2 linked regions of the Pelodiscus sinensis genome follow. The protein of the gene in region 1 interacts with the protein of each later gene in a pairwise test. Links are inferred from orthologs where the notes say so. Each region holds a gene or a part of one and is shown in the gene's direction. Other genes may lie near its edges.

Region 1 (10,103 bases):
GTAATGGAATTTCCATCAGTAATACACTTTTGCATTTTTACTGAATAATTTCTTGCACATGTATACATATAATAATTTTATGGAACTACTTATCAGTTCTGAAATATGATGAGTATATTTGAGATGTAACTGTTTTTTTCAAATGTTATAATTAAGCACACAATATAGACATGATAAAATATACATGTGCACGTCATACCATTCAAATTTATTCACACGTATTTAGTGAATAACAATCCTGTATTTGCAAAATTAATAAATTATTTATATAAGGTAATCCCTAACCTAAATAGATGATAACTTACTGATGAAATTACTTATAATACGTACCTTTTAAGTAATCAAAACAGAGAACACTTTGATATATGCACTATTATTTTGTACTATAGTGAGAAGCTTAGTGACTGTAAACTGTATGGCCAATATGGCCTCAGCCATAGGCGCCAACTGAATGATGGCGGATAGGAGGCCCACTTAGCCTCAGCGCAGTTTACTTCTCGCAATAAGTGAGATACATACTTAGACTGCGTTGGTATAAAGACGAATATAATCCAGCCTGGATTATATTTGTCTTTATACCAACGCAGTCGTAAAATATAATTTTTAATATTTTTTGTTTATGGAGGAAGGGGCCCACGAAGGCAAAAGTGCCTACGGCCCACAAAAGTCATAATGCTGCCCTGCTTCAGATGACCCGAGTATTAGAAGTCCAGACCCAAGAATAAGTAAGGGAAGGTGAGTATGTGGGGGGGAAATAAGAGAAAACAAAATAGTGAATTGGATTGTTCAAGTTACAAGAGGCTGATAAGAACAATTTGCACCTCTATAAGCACCGGTTGGTTAAGTCATTAAGATGTGTAAGGTACCATCTACATGTTTTTGTTAGTTTTTTAAGGTGCTGCTAGGCTATTTGTTGTTTTTTAAGTTTTTCCAGTTACAGACTAACTTGACTACCCCTCTGAAGCTCTAGAAAGGGAGTGGGCAACATAAATGACTCTCCTTCACCTCAGTGGGCCGCAGCCCACAGCTCATTGGGGGTCCACATGCGGCCTTACTGGACTCCTCCATGTGCCTCTCCCACACTGGGGCACAGGAGCCTCAGACTTACCTGCTCCTCCCCCTCCCTTCCAGTACTTTCAGAGGAGCTGCAAATTGCCTAATTTGCTCTCAGTACCTGCTCTTCCCCCTCAGTCCCAGAGCTGGAATGCTGCATACAGCTGATTTGCAGCATTCCAGCTCTGGAAGGGTGGAGGGGGAGCAGAAATGGAGGGTGAATAAGGTGATTCATGTCTCCTCTGAGAATGTTGGGAAGGAGTGGGAGGAAGAGGAAATATGGGCTCTGGTGCTCCAGTGGACCAGAAGCTTGTGGGGGAAGAGGGCAGCCAGGGGGTCAGTGGACTACAGGTGGAGCCCCAGTTGGCCGCATGCAGCCCATATGACGTAGGTTGCTCACCAATATTGTATAGCATTAGTTACTAATATGGAATTATATTCATCAGGTTTCTATGATCATATAATGAAAAGCCATATTATTATGCATATTATGGCAAAAATACAGCTGTGAGAACAGTACTTCTGCATATATTACTTTTTCAATTACATTTCAGTGTAGTATTAAAATAATGGTTTTGCATTTAAGTGCTTAAAATGTAATATTTACAAACAGTAGCCAACTCCCTCTCCATTGCGAAACTATTTGTGGAGTTTATCATCTTGTATTCTAACTCACATCAGGGGCTAGGCCTCAAAAACAGATGCCAGAAAGATGGCTTTAAGTCACTTTTGCCCTGTTACTCTCTTGTTGCACTGAGCATACCTCAATTAGAATAGAGAATCTGTCTATCTGTTAACTCCTACCCATTACTACTGTGGCAGATACGGCAACTTGCTGCAATAGCCTGTATAAACATGGGTGGAGGGCATCATAGGCAGGGGAGGGCAATGCCTTCTCAAACTGCCTCACCTGGCTCTACCCATGGTCCACCAGAGTCCCCCAGGCTCCTTCCCATTTGCTCTTGCAGTGACAGAGGCTGGGACCTGCAGTGTCACCTGCCTTCCCCATGCTGGGGCTAGTGACTTCGCTGGTGGGGGTGACTTCCTGGTTCTGGGGCATTTTTGGAGACCATATAGTAGGCATGGAACAGGCAGGCTGGGGCTGTGCCTCCCAGCTCTTGTCTCTGGTACCTTGCGGTAGGGGGAGGCTGGAGCCATGGTGCCTGCTGGAAGCCTGGGGCCAGAGGAAGCTGCAGCCATGCCATCAACCAGCTCTCTGCAGCTCCAGGATTGGGGCAGGCTACAGCTATGCTGCCCGCTGTTCCCCTGAGCTTTGGCTGGGGTAGGTTGTGGTCACACCACCCACCTCCATCTCTGGAGACGTTCTTTGAATCTCTCTAGCCAGGGGAGACTGCAGTTGTGATGCCTGCTGGCATTCGAAGGCCAGCGCAGGCTGGGGCTACATAATCCTGGGCTGGGGGCATTACCCTAGAGCCGATGGCAAGAGCCACCTGCCCCATGGAGGGGACTGGGCAGAGGCCAGCAGTGAGGGAAGGCTGGGCCATGGTGGGCATAGAGGAGATGGGGCCTCAGGTGGAAGGGACAGGGCTGCAGGGCTTGCCTCCCCAAGACATGGGGTCACTCACTGCCCATGTGTTATAAATCTTATTGAATTATGTTTAAGAATCTTAGGAGTTCAGTGTATTAAAAATACAAATGTTTCTGTAGTTTAATGGGATTATATGTAATAAGTATATGGAGGAGACCTGACTAACATAAACCTTGACGCACTGTGCGCTTGAAAGGACAACTTGAAACAACATGAACCTTTAAAAGTGAAGTGGGTTTTCCAGGAAATATCTAGGGGGAAGTGTAAATGAATATAATTCCTCTGGTTGTACTTTTAGCCTGAAGAGGGGATATTTTGTGTGCTGATCACCTGTTAATTGAGTTCAGATCACAGCCCCAAATTATATAAAGAAGTGATTTCCAGATTCATAGGTGTGTTTGTCATGAACTTGTAAGAGCAGAACAACTGCCTAGCGAGTTTGAAGTGCTTTTTATCTGTTTGATCTTTTTCGCATTTGGGTGATCTCTGGCATGAGCATACTTTCATTTATTGTTTGTAATATCCAGGTAATACTTTCACCTTAAAAATGTGCTTGCTTAAAAAGAACTGAGACAATCTATGCTCTTTATAGCTTGAGAAAAGCAAAGCAGGGCTCCTGAGACAGTTTGTCTTGCTGGGGAATTCAATGTAGACAGGAAACAGTGCATCTTAGAAAAACCCTGATCAAAAGACAGACAGAGGCATCAATCTCCAACTCAAATATGTGATGGCCAGGGAAACAGAAACATAAGCACAGGTGCATTTGCTGAACGCAGTGGAGTAATACAGCCACAGTTGCCCTGAACTGTGGCAACCACTAAAAGGAAAAAAGATTTCATACACTTGCAAAATCAGGAAATGTAGCTTTAGAGTTGTAGGTGATGATGTCACCAGTGATGCAGTACTTCTGAATTTGTTGCAAGAGAGGATTGCTGATTCATTGTCTGTTTGATTAAACAGTTCAGGGCAACTGTACCTTTAGTCCACTACTATGGTCCATTGGTCCAGTAACAGGACTCATGCTTAGGTTTCTAGCTTGCTGGCCAACACCTCTCTTGGGTGGAGCTGATTACTGCTGTCAGGTTACAGGTGCAGCAGCAGAAGATGGTGCAGTTTGTGAGTTGCTCTCTGTGGCAGAGGATCCCAGACTCCATTTTGTCTTTCTCAATCTGAGAGACTGCCTGCCTGGTAGGCTCCTCTGACACACAGTCTAGGCTGGGAGAGCCATGGAGCACCTAGAGCCACAAAGAAAAGACTGATCTTTGGGACTCTGCCTTCCCAGCTGTATCTGGTAGGTCTACCTTGCTCCAGAAGAGAGGGGACAGCTAGGGATTCATAGATAAGGGCACTATTCCCTTTCTTCTGGCTTCAACACCATCATCCAGCTATGTCATAAAGGCATGACTTCATACACCTGTAGTTATTGTGAAATATGGACTTGAGTGCTGCCTTTGAGGACCTGGGCCTTAGAGTTTGTCCACAGAATTAGTATAAAGAAAGCTGGAGTGTAAATCTACAGTGCACTAATCTGCTTTGTATTAAGTTGCCATGTGGACCCTGTTACTGTGTACAGTCTAGGCTACGTCTAGACTGCAATCCTCTTTCGAAAGAGGGTTTTTCGAAAGATACTTTAGAAAAAGCCTCTTTAGAAAAAGAGCATCTAGACTACGACCAGTACTATTGAAAAAGCAAGCCGCTTTTTTGAAAGAGAGCACCCAGGCAGTCTGGATGCTCTCTTTCAAAAAAGCAGTTTGTATTACATAGAGCCTTTTTTCAAAAGAGCACTTTCAAAAAAAGGCGTTATTCATCATAAAACGAGGTTTTTCATGGTCGAAAGAACTGCCGCATTCTTTCAATTTACTTTCGAAAGAACGTGGCAGCAGTCTAGAAGCAGGGGAAGTTTTTTCGAAAAAAGGCCACTTTTTAAAAAAAACCCTGTAGTCTAGACACACCCTTAAAGTCAAAGCACGCTAAAGAATGTTCACAGGAACTGAGTCCACAGCTAGTAGGTAGTGAACTCGAACACTGTACACTTCAGCTTGCCATGCACTATATTGTTGTGTGGACCAGCACTTAGGCTAGGTCTACACTGCGTTTTTTCTGCTTTTTTTTCCGGAAGAGGCTTTTCCGACATTTGGCCCATCTACACGGGGCCAAATGTGGGAAAAACCTCCTCTTTTGGAAGATCCCTTATTTCTCATAAAATGAGGAATACAGGGCTTCTGAAAGAATGCACACAGTTTTTCAGAAACTGTTCTGAAAAAGCGGATGCGTTCCCTGGATGTTTTTCTGTCGTGTAGACATAGCCATGGCGTACAGTTGTACTATGTGCATTTTGTTACAATGGTGGATGCTTAGGTAGGACTACTATTTACTAAAGATTGTGTTGGTATCTCATTATATCTGGTATCTCAAACTTTCACATGCTTAGAACTTTCTGAAAAGTTTTCTTTTAGGGCTAAAAGAGTCCCAGGTTGGTTTTGGACCAGAGCCTTTTTTTTAAGGTTTGAGACAAATCCTGTTCTTGAGTTCAGAAAGGTGTCAACTTATATATATTAGTCAAATTAAATAGCTGGCAAATAACTCAGCACTGAATAATTATAACAATTATTAATGGAAAAATCTCGGTGGCTGTAAGTCCCTTAGTGATGGGTTGAACATTGTATTGTTAGTCTTTAAAGTATTTATTTTATGATCCAAATAAGAAATATGCCTGCATCAGTAACAATGTAACAACTTTTTTATTTTTTTTGTTTTAAGATCCAATATACCTCTATTACAGACAGTGCTAATTTCTATGAGATTCTGGTTGGAAAAAGGAAGCATGAATTCTCTTTAGTCTGGCAGGACAGTTTGTGTAACCTGGAAACTTGAGATAAATCATCAGTGAACAAACATGTCAGTGAATTAACCACATAATTGCCAGATAGATGAGTCACTAAAGTGGATGATGCTTCACATCTTGCTTCTTCCATCTCACTGACAGTTAATCGATTACAGGAGGAGGAAGAGGATGAGTTCAGATCTTATTTTGGTTTTTGGATATATTAAGAATAACTTTAAATTATGCTTTCCTAGCAAAATCTCCTTAACAAAACCCCTATTCCTGCATCATGCACTCACCTCTATTGGCTAGACACAAGCCTGATTGCTTGGTAGGTCTAAGGAGTCCTGCACACCCAGGAGCGGGAGGATGGTGCCAGGAACATGCAGAGCCCGCACCCCTCCCCGCCTGCCTGAGTTTCTGGCTGAGGGAGGCAGTTTCGGTGCTGGCTGCAGGCGGCGGCCTGGTGCAGAAGCGGGTCCGGTCTCTGCGAGGCTGCGCGTTGGGGCTCAGCGCTCTTGAAGGGGCTGGGAGCCCGGGCGCTGCGCGGCGGCGCGTTCCCGGAGCGTTCCCATGGAGACGGGGCCTGCTCCGCGAGGACCCGCTGCCGCCTGTCAGAGCAACCGGTGAGTTACCCGCCCCCGCGTCCTGCCCCTCCATTGAACCGGGGCACCCCCCCCGCGTCCTGCCCCTCCATTGAACCGGGGCGCCACCTCCCCCCCCCGCGTCCTCCCCCGCCCCCATTGATCTGGGGCGCGCCCCCCCCCCCCGCGTCCTGCCCCGCCCCTATTTAACCGGGGCGCCCCCCCGCGTCCTGACTCGCCCCCATTTAACCGGGGCGCCCCCCGTTTCTTATCCCACCCCTATTTAACCGGGGCTCCCCCCCGCGTCCTGCCCCGCCCCTATTTAACCGGGGCTCCCCCCCGCGTCCTGCCGACCCCTATTTAATCGGGTCGCCCCCCGTTTCTTATTCTAGCCCCATTTAACCGGAGTGCCCCCTGTGTCCTGCCCAACCCCTATTTAACCGGGGCTCCTCCCCCCCCGCGTCCTGCCCCGCCCCTATTTAACCGGGGCTCCCCCCCGCGTCCTGCCGACCCCTATTTAATCGGGTCGCCCCCCGTTTCTTATTCTACCCCCATTTAACCGGAGTGCCCCCTGTGTCCTGCCCAACCCCTATTTAACTGGGGCTCCTCCCCCCCCGCGTCCTGCCCCGCCCCTATTTAACCGGGGCTCCCCCCCCGCGTCCTGCCCACCCCTATTTAATCAGGTCGCCCCCCGTTTCTTATTCTACCCCCATTTAACCGGAGTGCCCCCTGTGTCCTGCCCAACCCCTATTTAACTGGGGCTCCTCCCCCCCCGCGTCCTGCCCCGCCCCTATTTAACCGGGGCTCCCCCCCCGCGTCCTGCCCACCCCTATTTAATCAGGTCGCCCCCCGTTTCTTATTCTACCCCCATTTAACCGGAGTGCCCCCTGTGTCCTGCCCAACCCCTATTTAACTGGGGCTCCTCCCCCCCCGCGTCCTGCCCCGCCCCTATTTAACCGGGGCTCCCCCCCCGCGTCCTGCCCACCCCTATTTAATCAGGTCGCCCCCCGTTTTTATTCTACCCCCATTTAACCGGAGTGCCCCCTGTGTCCTGCCCAACCCCTATTGAACCGGGGCGCCCCCCTTTCTTATCCCACCCCTATTTAATCTTATCTCACCCCCATTTAACCAGGGCGCTCCCCTGTGTCCTGCCCCACCCACATTTAACCAGGGTGCCCCCCTGTGTCCTGCTCCACCCCCATTTAACCGGGGCACTCCCCGTTTCTTATCCCACCCCCATTTAACCGGGGCGCCCTCTGTTTCTTATCCCACCCCCATTTAACCGGGGCGCCCCCTGTGTCCTGCCCCACCCCTATTTAACCGGGGCGTTCCCCCCGTTTCTTATCCCACCTCTGTTTAACCGGGGCACCCACCCCCGTGTCCTGCCCCACCTCCATTTAGCTGGGGCGCCCCTCCCATGTCTTATCCCACCCCCATTTAGCTGGGGTGCCCAGACCCCGTGCCGTGTCTCCCCTTATCGAAGGGGGGGAGGCCCAGCCCTCCCGTCCCATCCTCCCCTTGGAACTAAACAGGAGTGTTGTGAGCAAGACCCGAGGAGTCATTCTTCCGCTCTGCTCTGCGCTGGTTAGGCTCCAGTTGGAGTACTGTGTCCAGTTCTGGGCACCACATTTCAAGAAAGATGTGGAGAAACTGGAGAAGGTCCAGAGAAGAGCAACAAGAATGATTAAAGGTCTAGAACGGGGGTGGCCAACCCGTGAGATGCATGCGGCTCTTCACCCCTGAAAGTGCGGCTCGCGAAGCTCCCTCCACCGTGGCTCGCAAAGCGCCCCTAGAAACAGCCCTGGGGTCTCTGCTCACCAGGTGCAAAGGAGCTGTTCAGTGTGGCAAGATGGTGGCAGTGTTTCGGCTGTCTTCGTTTAATGGGTTGGCCTCCCTGGTCTAGAAAACATGAGCTATGAGGGAAAAGTGAAAGAATCGGGCTTCTTTAGTTGGAAAAGAGAAGACTGAGAGGGGACATGATAGCGGTTTTCAAGTATCAAAAAGGGTATTACAAGGAGGAGGGAAAATTACTCTCCTTGGCCTCTGAGGATAGGACTATAAGCAATGGACTTAAACTGCAGCAAGGGAGGTTTAGGTTGGACCTTAGGAAAGACCTCCTACTTGCCAGGGTGGTGAAACACTAGAATAAATTGCCTAAGGGGTTTGTGGAATCTCTGTCACTGGAGATATTTAAGAACAGGTTAGATAGACCAACCAAAGCCACCATGACTGGACTCTTGCAGCTGGGCCATGGGATCTGCCTCAGGAGCACGGCGGCTGGGGACAGACCACAGGAGACAGAGGGGGGCTGGAGCCAGGCTGCCATGGCCAGATGGAGGCATCTGCTGACACTATCCCCTCTCACTATCCCGCATGCTTACAGCAGTGGCTCCCAACCGCCAGGCTGCGGCCCTCTGCCTGGCTGCAGGCTTCTGGTTGTCAGGCCATGGTGGCTCTGGGGGCCAGGGCTGAAGAACACTGCTCTTGTTGTGGCTGTTGGAAGAGGCATGTCCTGCCCTGCCTCTCAGCGAGCCAGTGCTGGGCAGGGGCGGGGTTTCCTCCCAGCCAAGGAAGAGCGCACTCTTCTGTGGCCGGGAGGAGGCCCCGCTCCATGTGACCCTCCTGCCATGCAGGGAAGCACTCTTCTGAAGTCAGAGGAGACCCCGCCCCTGCCTGGTGCTGGTTGCCTGAGAGGCGGGGCAGGACAGACCTCTCCCAACAGCCACAGTCGGAAGGGCAGCACTGGATGGTGTACCTCAGTCCCAGCCCCCAGAGCTGCTGGGACACAGGCAGCAGTGCATAGCTAGGTGAGGGCGGCGAGGCAGGCACTGAGGGCTCTAGGGGTGGGGTTAGTGCTGGGGGGCTCTGCAGGCTGAGCTAGTAGTGGAGGGGCAGGGCTGGCACTGGGGGGCTCTGGGGATGGGGCTAATATTGGGGGGCAAGCATTGGGGAGGCTCTGTGGGAGGTTGGGTGCAGTGGGGCTCTGGAAATGGTAGGCTGGTACTGGGGGGTTTGGTGTAGGTGGTCTCTAAGGGATGGGGGACTGGCACAGAAGTATTTGGGATGGGGGGGCTGGCTAGTGGGGGGGCTCTGAGGGCAGGAGGCTGGCACTGAGGGGCTTGTGTGCAGGGGACTCTAGGGTCAATGGCTGGCACTGGGGGATAGTGGAGGGGTGAGTGGTTCTAGGGATTAGGGCTGGGACTGGGGGCTCTGGAGGCTGGGCTTTTGGCAGACGGGCAACATTTTATTTGCAGGTTCATCATTTGCAAAATGAATATGCAAATAAAATTTGATCAGTTCACCCCTGATTAGCTATTCATTGACTCAAATAGCGATTTCCTCCCTCCCTCCCCCTCACTCTATCTTCTGTACTAAATCTGATTTGTCAGTTTAATAATGTGTTCACTTTTTTCATTGTATTCCTTTGGTATATATGGTCATGCCAGTTCTCTTCCAGAATATTATCTGAGGAAGTGGGTCTGGCCCATGAAAGCTCATCACCTATTAAACCATCTTGTTAGTCTTTAAAGTGCTACATAGTTTTTCCTTTTGTTTTTGGAAATATGTAATATTTTTGTATGTTGAGTGCCACTCTCCTTCTCCTTATGCCTACTTGATCCTTCCAAAATACATTATAACATTGACTTTAACATTCCAGTGTGAATCATCTCACCTGGTTTCAGTAATATCAATGAGATTGAATTTATGCTCACAGATCAGGAATTTCAGTTCCTCTTGTATGTTAACCAGTCTAGTAGCTTTAGTGTATAGATTATTAAAGAGTTTTTTCTTTTCATGTTCTTTGATTTCTTGATTAATTTCATTCTCAACATATTGATTTTGTGCAGAGTGCCCATTTCTTCCCTCTTTTTACCTTCCCCCTTTGTTTAATCCTTTCCTGTCTACTCGCCTGGCCCCAAGGAGATGGCTCTCCCTTTTACTGAGTTGGAGGCCAGTCAAACTACATAACCCCTTCCTTCCAGAAAAATAGGATCCATATTCCAGAAAATATCTGTTTTATACCACTTTTCTTGCTTGTCATTCACTTCCAGAATCTTCTGCCTTCCTTTACTTGTGGGACAGGAGGAATCTC
Region 2 (10,678 bases), on another chromosome or scaffold:
GTTACTTATCATGTTTGCTGACCCATTTAAAAGTCTAGTGGAAGCCAAACATAGGTGTCACCTACATCATAGAAACACATTGATACTATATAGTGAGGTGGGGGTCCATTTAACACAGAAGTCCCTTTCTATACTAGACCTTTAAAAAGATGCCATCAATCACACCTTCAAATCTACTCTAGACTGACCTTATGAGGAAAGTAGGATACGTTTTCTTCTAAAATTTGATACTGTTTCAATCCATCTCTAAGTCTGCTTAATAAAAACACTTAAAGAAAAAAGTTAGCTTACTTTTGTGTAACGATGAGATTTTACTGTTATTCTGTCCAAGTCAAGAAAAGAGTCTCCATTTTCAACTTCTCCTATAGCCCCTCTCTTATCCATGTCTATTTGAAAGCCTTTGATTATTGACCTAATTAAAAATACAGAATTATGTTAATAAAATAGGCAGTATAATTGAAGGTTTTACGGTACACCTTCCTTACAGGTTTTGGAACACTGTCACCAACTTACAGCTAACAATCACATTCCATAACAGCTTTTGACTGATGTTTTGGTTGTTCTGTATATCTAAACCATAACTGGCAGTAAGAGAGTCTAGTTCCTAGAACAAGTGCTTTCAATTTAGCTTAGGTGCCTGAATTCCTCTGTGGTTCAAAACAGAGCTCTTAAATTGCTTCAGAGCCACAAAGATCATCATAGGGATAGAATTAGCGTACAGAAGGAAAAGCTCATGAAAGAGAAGGACTGGATAGGAAGCCCCCTTCCCTCAGGCCGGGCAGTCCTAGGCCCCTACGCAAGCTGTCTGAGAGAGTCACTTGCACCCCATTTTGCACCGTACAGGACCACAGATAAATATGCATACCATGGAACGGTCCAGGTCCCCAAACCATGGGTCGCAGAGCAGATCCCTCTGCTTCCAGCACTGTTAAAATAAATAAATAATAATAATAAGCAACAATTTTATTAACCCCCCCCCACACACATCTCCCCCCCCCCCCCATAATCATCACGGCCAATAGCAGCTCATCCACCCGGGTATTGTGTGTTCTCGGCCGCTCCCAAGCTTGCCGTGGGGAAGTGAAGAACGAGGATGGGGATGAGGGACGCCTGACGCACGGTCGCCAAGGCAGCCCCTCCCCCCCCCCCCCCATGGCTGAGAGGACCCGACTGAGCATCCCCCCAGCCCGGCCACAGGTCTGCGCGGAGGCCCAGGAAGCAGCCCGCCGAGCGCAGGTAACGCCCGGGCGGGCCCAGGGGGACTCACCGCGCGGCAGGCGAGGTCCCCTCCGCTCCTCACCACCAGGCCTTGCTGGGGACCGGCTTCTCGCCGCCCCTCCCCCCGCCCGCCACACAGGGCTCGCTCCCGCCTTCCGCGCCCGGCCGCTCGCCGGCCCCAGGCTCGCGCCGCCGCCGCTCCCCCTCTTCTTCCTCCTCCAGTTTACTCGCGCGCCCTCTCCCGATTTACCCGACTCTCGCACTCTGTCTCCTCTCGGCCACCGTAACCTGGAGTCGGCTCACCGCCCCCTTTAATAGTCACCGCGCAGGCGCGGCCCGGCGGCCCCGGCGGGGCTGCCCGCTGTGTTGCCTGACTGAAAAGCGCAGCTTTCCACGGAAGGGCGACGTCTCGCCTCCTTCAATTGAGCAACAAGAGAGAATCACGGATTTCTGTTTATAGCCCTCCCCACAGACAACGGATGGTTTTGACCGATGGCGAGGACTGCTCAGGCACTGCCAGCGGCCAGCCCTGCGATGCTGCCCATGCTGCGGGGGAGGGGCTGTGGCTAAGGGCCACGTGCACACTGATAGGGACTTGATAGGCAGCAGCGCGAGTGCTGAGCTGCTGCACAGGCGTCTTGTTTTCCTTGTTTGTAGGTGGGCTGCTTTTGGGGGGCGGGCCCAGCACAGAGCCTAGGGGCATCTTTCCTACCCACTCGAATTCTATTTAAGTCATAAGGTCATAGAGGGTCAGACCAAAGGTCCATCTAGCCCAGTGGCCAATTCCAAATGCCCCAGAGAAAAGGGAACACAACAGATAATCATCAGCTGATAGGGTTGCCAGATGGTTTCAACAAAAATACCAGATCGCTCGACATTACATCACAATCTACATTACATCTTATTTACAAAATACCGGACATTTATAGTTTCTCATTTCTATTTTCTCCATTTGTTTCCTGGACAGAAAGCTCAAATAATGGATTGTCCAGTTCAAAATCAGACACCTGACAACCCTATCATCTGATCCCTCTCCGGTCATCCATTTCCAGACAAACAGAGGCTAGGGACACCATCCCTACCCATCCTGGCTAATAACCAATGATGGACCAAAACTCTATGAATATATCTAGCTCTTTTTTGGAACCCTGTTAGACTTCACAACATCCTTTGGCAAGGGCTTCCACAGGTTGACTGTGCATTGAGTGAAGAAAAACTTCCTTTTCTTTGTTTTAAATATGCTGCCTATTAATTTCATTTAGTGACCCCTAGTTCTTAGATTGTGGGAATAAGGGCCCTGCGGCTGTGGCGGGAAGGGCGCTGCTGGCCAGTGCCATGGGCATGGGGGGGCTGGTGCTACGGGAGCCGGGTGCGCGGCGCCTGATGGCAGCTATAAGGGACGCCGCATGCCCCTTACAGCTGCCATCAGGCGCCCCCCATCAGTTGGCGCCCCGGGCAGCTGCCCAGCTCGCCCATCCCTTAGTCCAGCCCTGATCATATCGCTCCGTAATCTCCTTTTTTTAATCTCTCTTCATATGAGACTCGTTCCAAACCCCAAATAATTTTCGTTGTCCTTTTCTGAACCTTTATAGAAAATCAGCTTTCTATAAGGAAAAAAAACTTGTAATGTGAGGGGGAAAGGAGTACTGAAACAAAGACAGTGTAGATTACTAACCTATCTATGGATTTTTTTTTAATTGATTTTGTAAAATACTTTAGATACATTCATGGAGGTTAGGTCCATCAATACTTATTAACCAGAATGGGTAGGAATGGTGTCCCTAGCCTCTGTTTGTCAGGGTCTGAAAATTTAAATTGGTGATGTGAGAGGGTTCATTTGATGATTTCCTGTTCTTTTCACCCCCTCTGGGGCATCTGGCATTGGCCACTGTTGGATGAGATGGACTGGATGGACCTTTGTGTTCTTATGTCCTTTGAAATGGATTGCAAACTTATGGGCTACGTCTACACTGGCCCCTTTTCCGGAAGGGGCATGTTAATTTCAGCCATCGTAGTAGGGAAATGTGCGGGGGATTTAAATATCCCCCGCGGCATTTAAATAAAAATGTCCGCCGCTTTTTTCCGGCTTTTAGAAAAGCCGGAAAAGAGCGTCTACACTGGCCCCGATCCTCCGGAAAAAGCGCCCTTTTCCGGAGGGTCTTATTCCTACTTCAAAGTAGGCTTTTCTAAAAGCCGGAAAAAAGCGGCGGACATTTTTATTTAAATGCCGCGGGGGATATTTAAATCCCCCGCGCATTTCCCTACTACGATGGCTGAAATTAACATGCCCCTTCCGGAAAAGGGGCCAGTGTAGACGTAGACGTCTAGTTTAACTGTAGCTTTTGTAAATATCTCTGCATCCTAAGCAAGACTGCTATTTTATAATTTCTTAAAACATATTACAAAACAGGAGGTAGCCACACATTCTAGAAAGCAGCAATATACATGAAAGACTACATTTTTCTCTTTCTACAGCTATGGCAAAAAGATGATTAACATAATGCAATACTGTATCAAGATACACTGCACCCTTTTATGCTGAATTTGGACTGATTTTACAGTTTTTAGGCAGATAACATTTATTTCAATGGGAATTTTGTGTGCATAAAGGCTTCAGGACTGTACTCTTTAATATATCTTGCACTGAGAAAGCAAGTTTCAAAGCAATGTCATGAAGATTTTTACAGAAGATGGTCCAGATTAATTAAAAAGCACTTAGTGCACTTGTACCCTCTGGAGGGTTTCTGAGTGCAGTCGGAAAACCAAAACAAATCACACAGTAGTATAGAAAAGGGGTGAGGTGGAGGGCCTACTTAAATAATGTGCAGAAAGCCAAAACCCCCCCCTCCCCAAAAAACCGGAGTAGGGAGCTATGCCAGCAGTATAGAATAGTCACTACATGTTGAATGTGGGGAGACTTGCTTTTCAACACCTTCTCTGGGACCTAGTGGCAGGGAAGGTGGGATTTCCTCAATTGCCATAGTGCACAGGGCTCCAAAATTCTTTATTTGGATATTGGCAGATGGCTTCTCTCTTGGCAAAAACTCTTGGAAATTTTGCCTGTACTGAAGTATAGGAGTTCTCTGGGTTAATGAATGGACGTGACATTTTGGGTATGAAGATTAGCAAATGGTCTGAGAGAAACATTATTAGGTTTAGAAAGAAAGACCCTGTCAGATTAAGTACATGATTAGCACAGAGAGTCATTCCGAATGACCTGTCTTCTCAAAACCAGTAAGAAATAATAAATATATGAACTGAATAAATAATTAGTTTATGTTAGTGTAACAGTTTTCAATCCCAAAGTCCTTAGAAAAGGAGTTGGCAACCTTTCAGAAGTGGCATGCCAGGATTGAACATAATCACTTCTATTTATGGATCTGTGTGCCAATGAAATTTTCTAAAAGTCAATAATAATCCTACTTACATTTTAGCAGCTTCATTAATAAATCAATAAAGATGCAGATCTTACCATTTAGTATGATCCTGAGGGAGAGTAGATAGGAGAATGGTGCTGGTGAGTGTCTGGCCAGGGGAGAGGGGTCAGGCACAGGATGCTCGTAGGTGTCTGTCCAGGAAAGGGGACAGGAGCAGGTTGGCTGGTACCTGCTGGTCTCCAGGAACAGAAGCCCTGGGCAGGATCTGCAGGCAGCGCTGGAAGAAGCACATGTACCGCTCCTAGTCCCCAAAGCCCAGACCTCCTTCAGCATTTTAGCTGACTTCCACCGCTGCATGCTCAATGTGCATCACCACTACATCCAGCTTTGGAGATGGCTGAGCCGGTGACACTATGCTGGGTGACCATAATGTGATCAGTGATTGATTGGCCTGACATCTTCTGTCCCATTGTCCCCCCTCACTCAGCTGGGCTGTTCTCTTCCCACACCCCCACACTGGCGAGAGATTGGACTCTGACACCTGCCAGGAACTGACCCTCCCACCCTGAGAGTGCTTACGGCCACTGCTGTGTGCTAGCTGGAAGGGGTTGGCCCCCACAGGAAGCTGGTACTGATTCCAATCTTGTGGGAGCTAGATGCTGGATCACAAGCACAGGCTCCCCATTGTGGGGTTGGGGAAGGGGGGGAACAGCGAAGGGTGGGAGAGCTGAGCTTGATCCGCAAGCCATTAGGCTTTCTTTGCATGTGCCACTCAAAATCATCTTGTGTACCACACCCTACTTCTGCCCTAGATCATCTTAGTCATGTGTGCTCTCTTCCCAGCTCTGATTCTATTGGCTAGCTCTGCAGAGGTGCTGTAAGGATCAGTTTATCTGGTGCTGGAAGGGCAGAATGCTATTGCAAGCTCTGCTTGCATGTACCACTGCTAACCTGCTGCTAGTTTGGGGCTGGAGTTGGGACATGCTCGGGTGTTCCCAGAGACTGGGCCATTCATGGGCTTGTCTGAGGTTACTCAGAACAGGAGCTGGGTGTTCAGATCACGTCCTTTGCCCAGGGGCTGCCGGGCCTTCTGGTTCACAATAGCCAATAGCCACGTGGGAGCAGCAGGCCAGGGGACGCGACGGGACTTGTGCGCGAGCTCCTCCCAGGCGCTAGAGGTCGCTGTAACGTAGGCGTCGGCTCAGAGGCGAGGGCTGGGCGCCCGCTGCTGCCCTGGTCTCCATGGTGATAGGGGCGGGGCGCTCGCGGGCGGCGCGGGAAGAGCCGCTCGCTGGGGTTGGTCCCGGGTCGGCGCCGCTCGGCGGCGGGAGCGATGAAGAGCCCCCCGGGGGCGGGCTCGCCGGTTCCACAGACGGGGGGGCGCTAGGGCGGGGGCGCTTTGCCCCCCTGCCCGGTCCTGTGAGTGGGCGGCGCTAGGGCGGTGTGGTGCCTCGGGCCGTGTGTGTGTGTGTGTGTGTGTGTGTGTGTGTGTGTGTGGGAGGGGGGTGCCGTGTGTGTGTGTGTGTGGGGGGGTGCCGTGTGGCACCTCGGGGTGTGTGTGTGTGGGGGGGGTGCCGTGTGGCACCTCGGGGTGTGTGTGTATGGGGGGGTGCCGTGTGGCACCTCGGGGTGTGTGTGTGTGTGGGGGGGGTGCCGTGTGGCACCTCGGGGTGTGTGTGTGTGTGGGGGGGTGCCGTGTGGCACCTCGGGGTGTGTGTGTATGGGGGGGTGCCGTGTGGCACCTCGGGGTGTGTGTGTGTGTGTGGGGGGGTGCCGTGTGGCACCTCGGGGTGTGTGTGTGTGTGGGGGGGGTGCCGTGTGGCACCTCGGGGTGTGTGTGTGTGTGGGGGGGTGCCGTGTGGCACCTCGGGGTGTGTGTGTGTGTGGGGGGGGTGCCGTGTGGCACCTCGGGGTGTGTGTGTGGGGGGGGGTGCCGTGTGGCACCTCGGGGTGTGTGTGTGGGGGGGGGTGCCGTGTGGCACCTCGGGGTGTGTGTGTGTGGGGGGGTGCCGTGTGGCACCTCGGGGTGTGTGTGTGGGGGGGGGTGCCGTGTGGCACCTCGGGGTGTGTGTGTGTGGGGGAGGTGCCGTGTGGCACCTCGGGGTGTGTGTGTGGGGGGGGTGCCGTGTGGCACCTCGGGGTGTGTGTGTATGGGGGGGGGTGCCGTGTGGCACCTCGGGGTGTGTGTGTGTGTGGGGGGGGGTGCCGTGTGGCACCTCGGGGAGTGTGTGTGTGTGGGGGGGGGTGCCGTGTGGCACCTCGGGGTGTGTGTGTGTGTGTGGGGGTGCCGTGTGGCACCTCGGGGTGTGTGTGTGTGGGGGGGGTGCCGTGTGGCACCTCGGGGTGTGTGTGTGTGGGGGGGGTGCCGTGTGGCACCTCGGGGTGTGTGTGTGTGTGTGGGGGGGTGCCGTGTGGCACCTCGGGGTGTGTGTGTGTGTGTGGGGGGGTGCCGTGTGGCACCTCGGGGTGTGTGTGTGTGTGTGTGGGGGTGCCGTGTGGCACCTCGGGGTGTGTGTGTGTGGGGGGGGGTGCCGTGTGGCACCTCGGGGGGTGTGTGTGTGTGCGGGGGGGGTGCCGTGTGGCACCTCGGGGGGTGTGTGTGTGGGGGGGGGTGCCGTGTGGCACCTCGGGGGGTGTGTGTGTGTGGGGGGGTGCCGTGTGGCACCTCGGGGGAGTGTGTGTGTGGGGGGGGTGCCGTGTGGCACCTCGGGGGAGTGTGTGTGTGTGGGGGGGTGCCGTGTGGCACCTCGGGGAGTGTGTGTGTGTGGGGGGGTGCCGTGTGGCACCTCGGGGAGTGTATGTGTGTGGGAGGGTGCCGTGTGGCACCTCGGGGAGTGTGTGTGTGTGGGGGGGTGCCGTGTGGCACCTCGGGGAGTGTTTGTGTGTGTGGGGTGCCGTGTGGCACCTCGGGGTGTGTGTGTGTGTGGGGGTGCCGTGTGGCACCTCGGGGTGTGTGTGTGTGTGGGGGTGCCGTGTGGCACCTCGGGGGGGGGTGTGTGTGTTGGTGCTGTGTGTGTGTGGAGGTGCCGTGTGGCACCTCGGGGGGTGTGTGTGTATGTGGGGGGGAGGTGCCGTGTGTGTGTGGGGGAGGTGCTGTGTGGCACCTCGGGGTGTGTGTGTGTGTGGGGGGGGTGCCGTGTGTGTGTGGGGGAGGTGCTGTGTGGCACCTCGGGGTGTGTGTGTGTGTGGGGGGGGTGCCGTGTGGCACCTCGGGGTGTGTGTGTGTGTGGGGGTGCCGTGTGGCACCTCGGGGGGTGTGTGTGTGTGTGTGTTGGGGGGGAGGTGCCGTGTGGCACCTCGGGGTGTGTGTGTGTGTGGGGGGGGGTGCCGTGTGGCACCTCGGGGTGTGTGTGTGTGTGGGAGGGGGTGCCGTGTGGCACCTCGGGGTGTGTGTGTTGCCTTTTTCAAAAACTGTTTGCATGGTATAAAAACATTAGATTTGTATTTACCATTTATAGCCCTTTAAATGGGGAAAGCACAAACACCATAGAGACTAGCAGAATACAAATGTCCACATAGGTTACTGGATAGGTTGCTACTGTTATCTTACAGCCAGGGCCTCAAATATGATTACTTAATTGTGTTTATTACAAGGGCTTAGAGCATTACTATGTAGTTCTATAGTACAGGACTATGTAGCACTTTAAAGACTAACGAGATGGTTTATTAGATGATGAGCTTTCGTGGGCCAGACACACTTCCTCAGATCAAATAGTGGAAGAAAATAGTCACAACCATATATACCAAAGGATACAATTAAAAAAAAGAATACATATGAAAAGGACAAATCAAATTTCAGAACAGAAGGAGGATGTGGGGCGGAGGGGGGAAGGTAAATGTCTGTGAGCTAATGATATTAGAGGTGATAATTGGGGAAGCTATCTTTGTAATGGGTAAGATAACTAGAGTCTTTAAGACCCCGGCGTAAAGTCGATTTTTAGCATGAATAACAGTTCAGAGGATTCCCTTTCAAGTGCAGTTTTAAAAGGCTTTTGAAGCAGGATGCAGGTAATTAAGTCGTTGAGCTAATATCATTAGCTCACAGATATTTACCTCCCCCCCACCCCTCCGCATCCCCCTTCTGTTCTGAAATTTGATTTCTTTTTCATATGTGTTCTTTTTTTTTATTGTATCACTTTGGTATAGATGGTTGTGACTATTTTCTTCCACTATTTGATCTGAGGAAGTGGGTCTGGCCCACGAAAGCTCATCACCTAATAAACCATCTTGTTAGTCTTTAAAGTGGTACATAGTCCTGTATTTTGTTTCAGCTACCTTAGACTAACATGGCTACATTTCTATCATAGTTCTAGAGAGTGTGCGCGCGTGCGTGTATATGCATAGTCTGGCTGTTGAGGCTAGGAGTCCTTTTGTATTGAGGTCATTACAGAAACAAGGGGGCTAGTTGTTTTTGATATTCTGTTTTCTTCATTTGTGTTTGAGGCAGTTTCATCTAATTTCTGATACCTTCTATCTTGAGTCATAACTAGTATATCCTAATACCAGGACCTAGGTTCATATAAATACCAGGATTTGGTTATTCAGCAGCAGTTCTATTTATAGTGATAGAAATGTAGCCGTGTTAGTCTGGTGTAGCTGAAACAAAATACAGGACTATGTAGCACTTTAAAGACTAACAAGATGGTTTATTAGATGATAGATTAGTTCTATTTAGACGTTCTTTGTTGTCTGAAGAGTTAAGTAATCTTGACTAATATTATCATTGGGGTGACCCAGTGTTTCATGATAACTCTTGATTGTCATGGAGTTTATGAACTTAGCCAAGACTGTTCTCTGAGTGGAAATTTGAAATAAAAAGTCACAATCTGGAAGGTATTTTTCAGTTAATCAAAACTGGACAAAATTAGCCTCGAAAAAGTACAAGCAAAAGCAAGCAAACTTAAACAAAAAAAACTATTCTAAGGATGCAAAAAAAAAAAACCCCTAAATTTTCCAAACTAATAGTCTACAAAAATGTATTTTGCTCCGCTTAATTTAAGAAAGTATTTTTTTTCAAAGAGCGATAAGTACAGGCAGTATTATTTGTCTGGCATGATTTGATCATTCTTTAAAGAACAAATCCAAAGGCTCCTTGACTTTAATCACCAGAAAAGCAGAATAATCCTCTATAAATTCACTGTCTTGAGGAATGCAGCTTATTATAAAGAAAACAAATAAGACTTGTGTACTTTATTGGTCTTTATCAAAATGTCATGTCATCCCTATCAGCCAATCACATTGCTCTTTTTGTATTAGTTACCGATCTTTTTTTATGTTTCATATTCTTTTCCATATGTGCAATCAACAAAATACATATGGGCCAGGATCACTAAAAATTCTGAGTTGAATTATTTGACTAAACCTGTCTGTTGAGCACATTGATGTTAGGACCATATTGTGATATGGCAGTGGTCCCCAATGTGGTGCCCACAGGTGCCATGGCGCCCTCTGGGTCATTTATGTACACCTGCCTAGTGACCAGGGCCAGCCCGAGCCATTCATGCCCCCCGCCCCTGGGTGCGCGGCGCATGTGCGGCCCCCGCCCCTCGGCGCGCGGCGCCTGCGTGGCCCCTGGGCGCATGGCGCCCAGCAGCACCAAAAGGACTACAGTGATATAGACACTTATTTAACTAGGTCTATTGAAATCAGCTTGATAAAATCAGTGTGTCATGACTGTTCTGCAGTCCATCATTCTGACCAGTAGAACATATAGAAATTTTGTATACTATTTTATTATTGGGAGTTTGTACAAGAAGTGGCTGTGGTGCACCTAAGAAATTATACAAAATGTACATGTCATGTGAGCACCACTGATTCATCAAAGTAACTCAAAATAATTCTTATATATTATCCAAAGGTGTTTGACTGCTAACATATGAGATTCCATTGCAGACAGAGCAGTGAAGTTGATTGTAAAGGACCCAAGATTGGAGGAAAAAATGGAGAAAAAGTCAAGGGGCAGGTGAGGAATGGCGCATAGGCATTCCCTTGTCAAAGGATGCAATTATATTATTTTGTTATTATACCATGCCAATTCCCTTGGATTTAAAAAAGTTATTACTTGTGTATGTCACTCAGAAGGT

Evidence for each region. The genes of interacting proteins can lie anywhere in the genome.
Region 2: the proteins of CCDC57 (region 1) and SFI1 interact in a two-hybrid assay, tested with the Homo sapiens proteins (2 studies listed by BioGRID). The two-hybrid records come from large-scale screens. The link is inferred for Pelodiscus sinensis from reciprocal best matches to the Homo sapiens genes CCDC57 and SFI1.

What each region holds. Positions count from the first base shown.
Region 1 is NC_134730.1:30,397,749-30,407,851, reverse strand, and holds the start of CCDC57 (coiled-coil domain-containing protein 57), read left to right. Parts: upstream 1-5,922; 5' UTR 5,923-6,052; intron 6,053-10,103. UniProt on the Homo sapiens protein: Pleiotropic regulator of centriole duplication, mitosis, and ciliogenesis. Critical interface between centrosome and microtubule-mediated cellular processes. Centriole duplication protein required for recruitment of CEP63, CEP152, and PLK4 to the centrosome.
Region 2 is NC_134725.1:8,272,347-8,283,024, reverse strand, and holds the start of SFI1 (protein SFI1 homolog), read left to right. Parts: upstream 1-5,857; 5' UTR 5,858-5,891; exon of another isoform or gene 5,892-6,014; intron 6,015-10,452; exon of another isoform or gene 10,453-10,487; 5' UTR 10,488-10,534; coding exon 10,535-10,557; intron 10,558-10,678. Other genes in the region: EIF4ENIF1 (eukaryotic translation initiation factor 4E transporter), read right to left, coding at 292-384. UniProt on the Homo sapiens protein: Plays a role in the dynamic structure of centrosome-associated contractile fibers via its interaction with CETN2.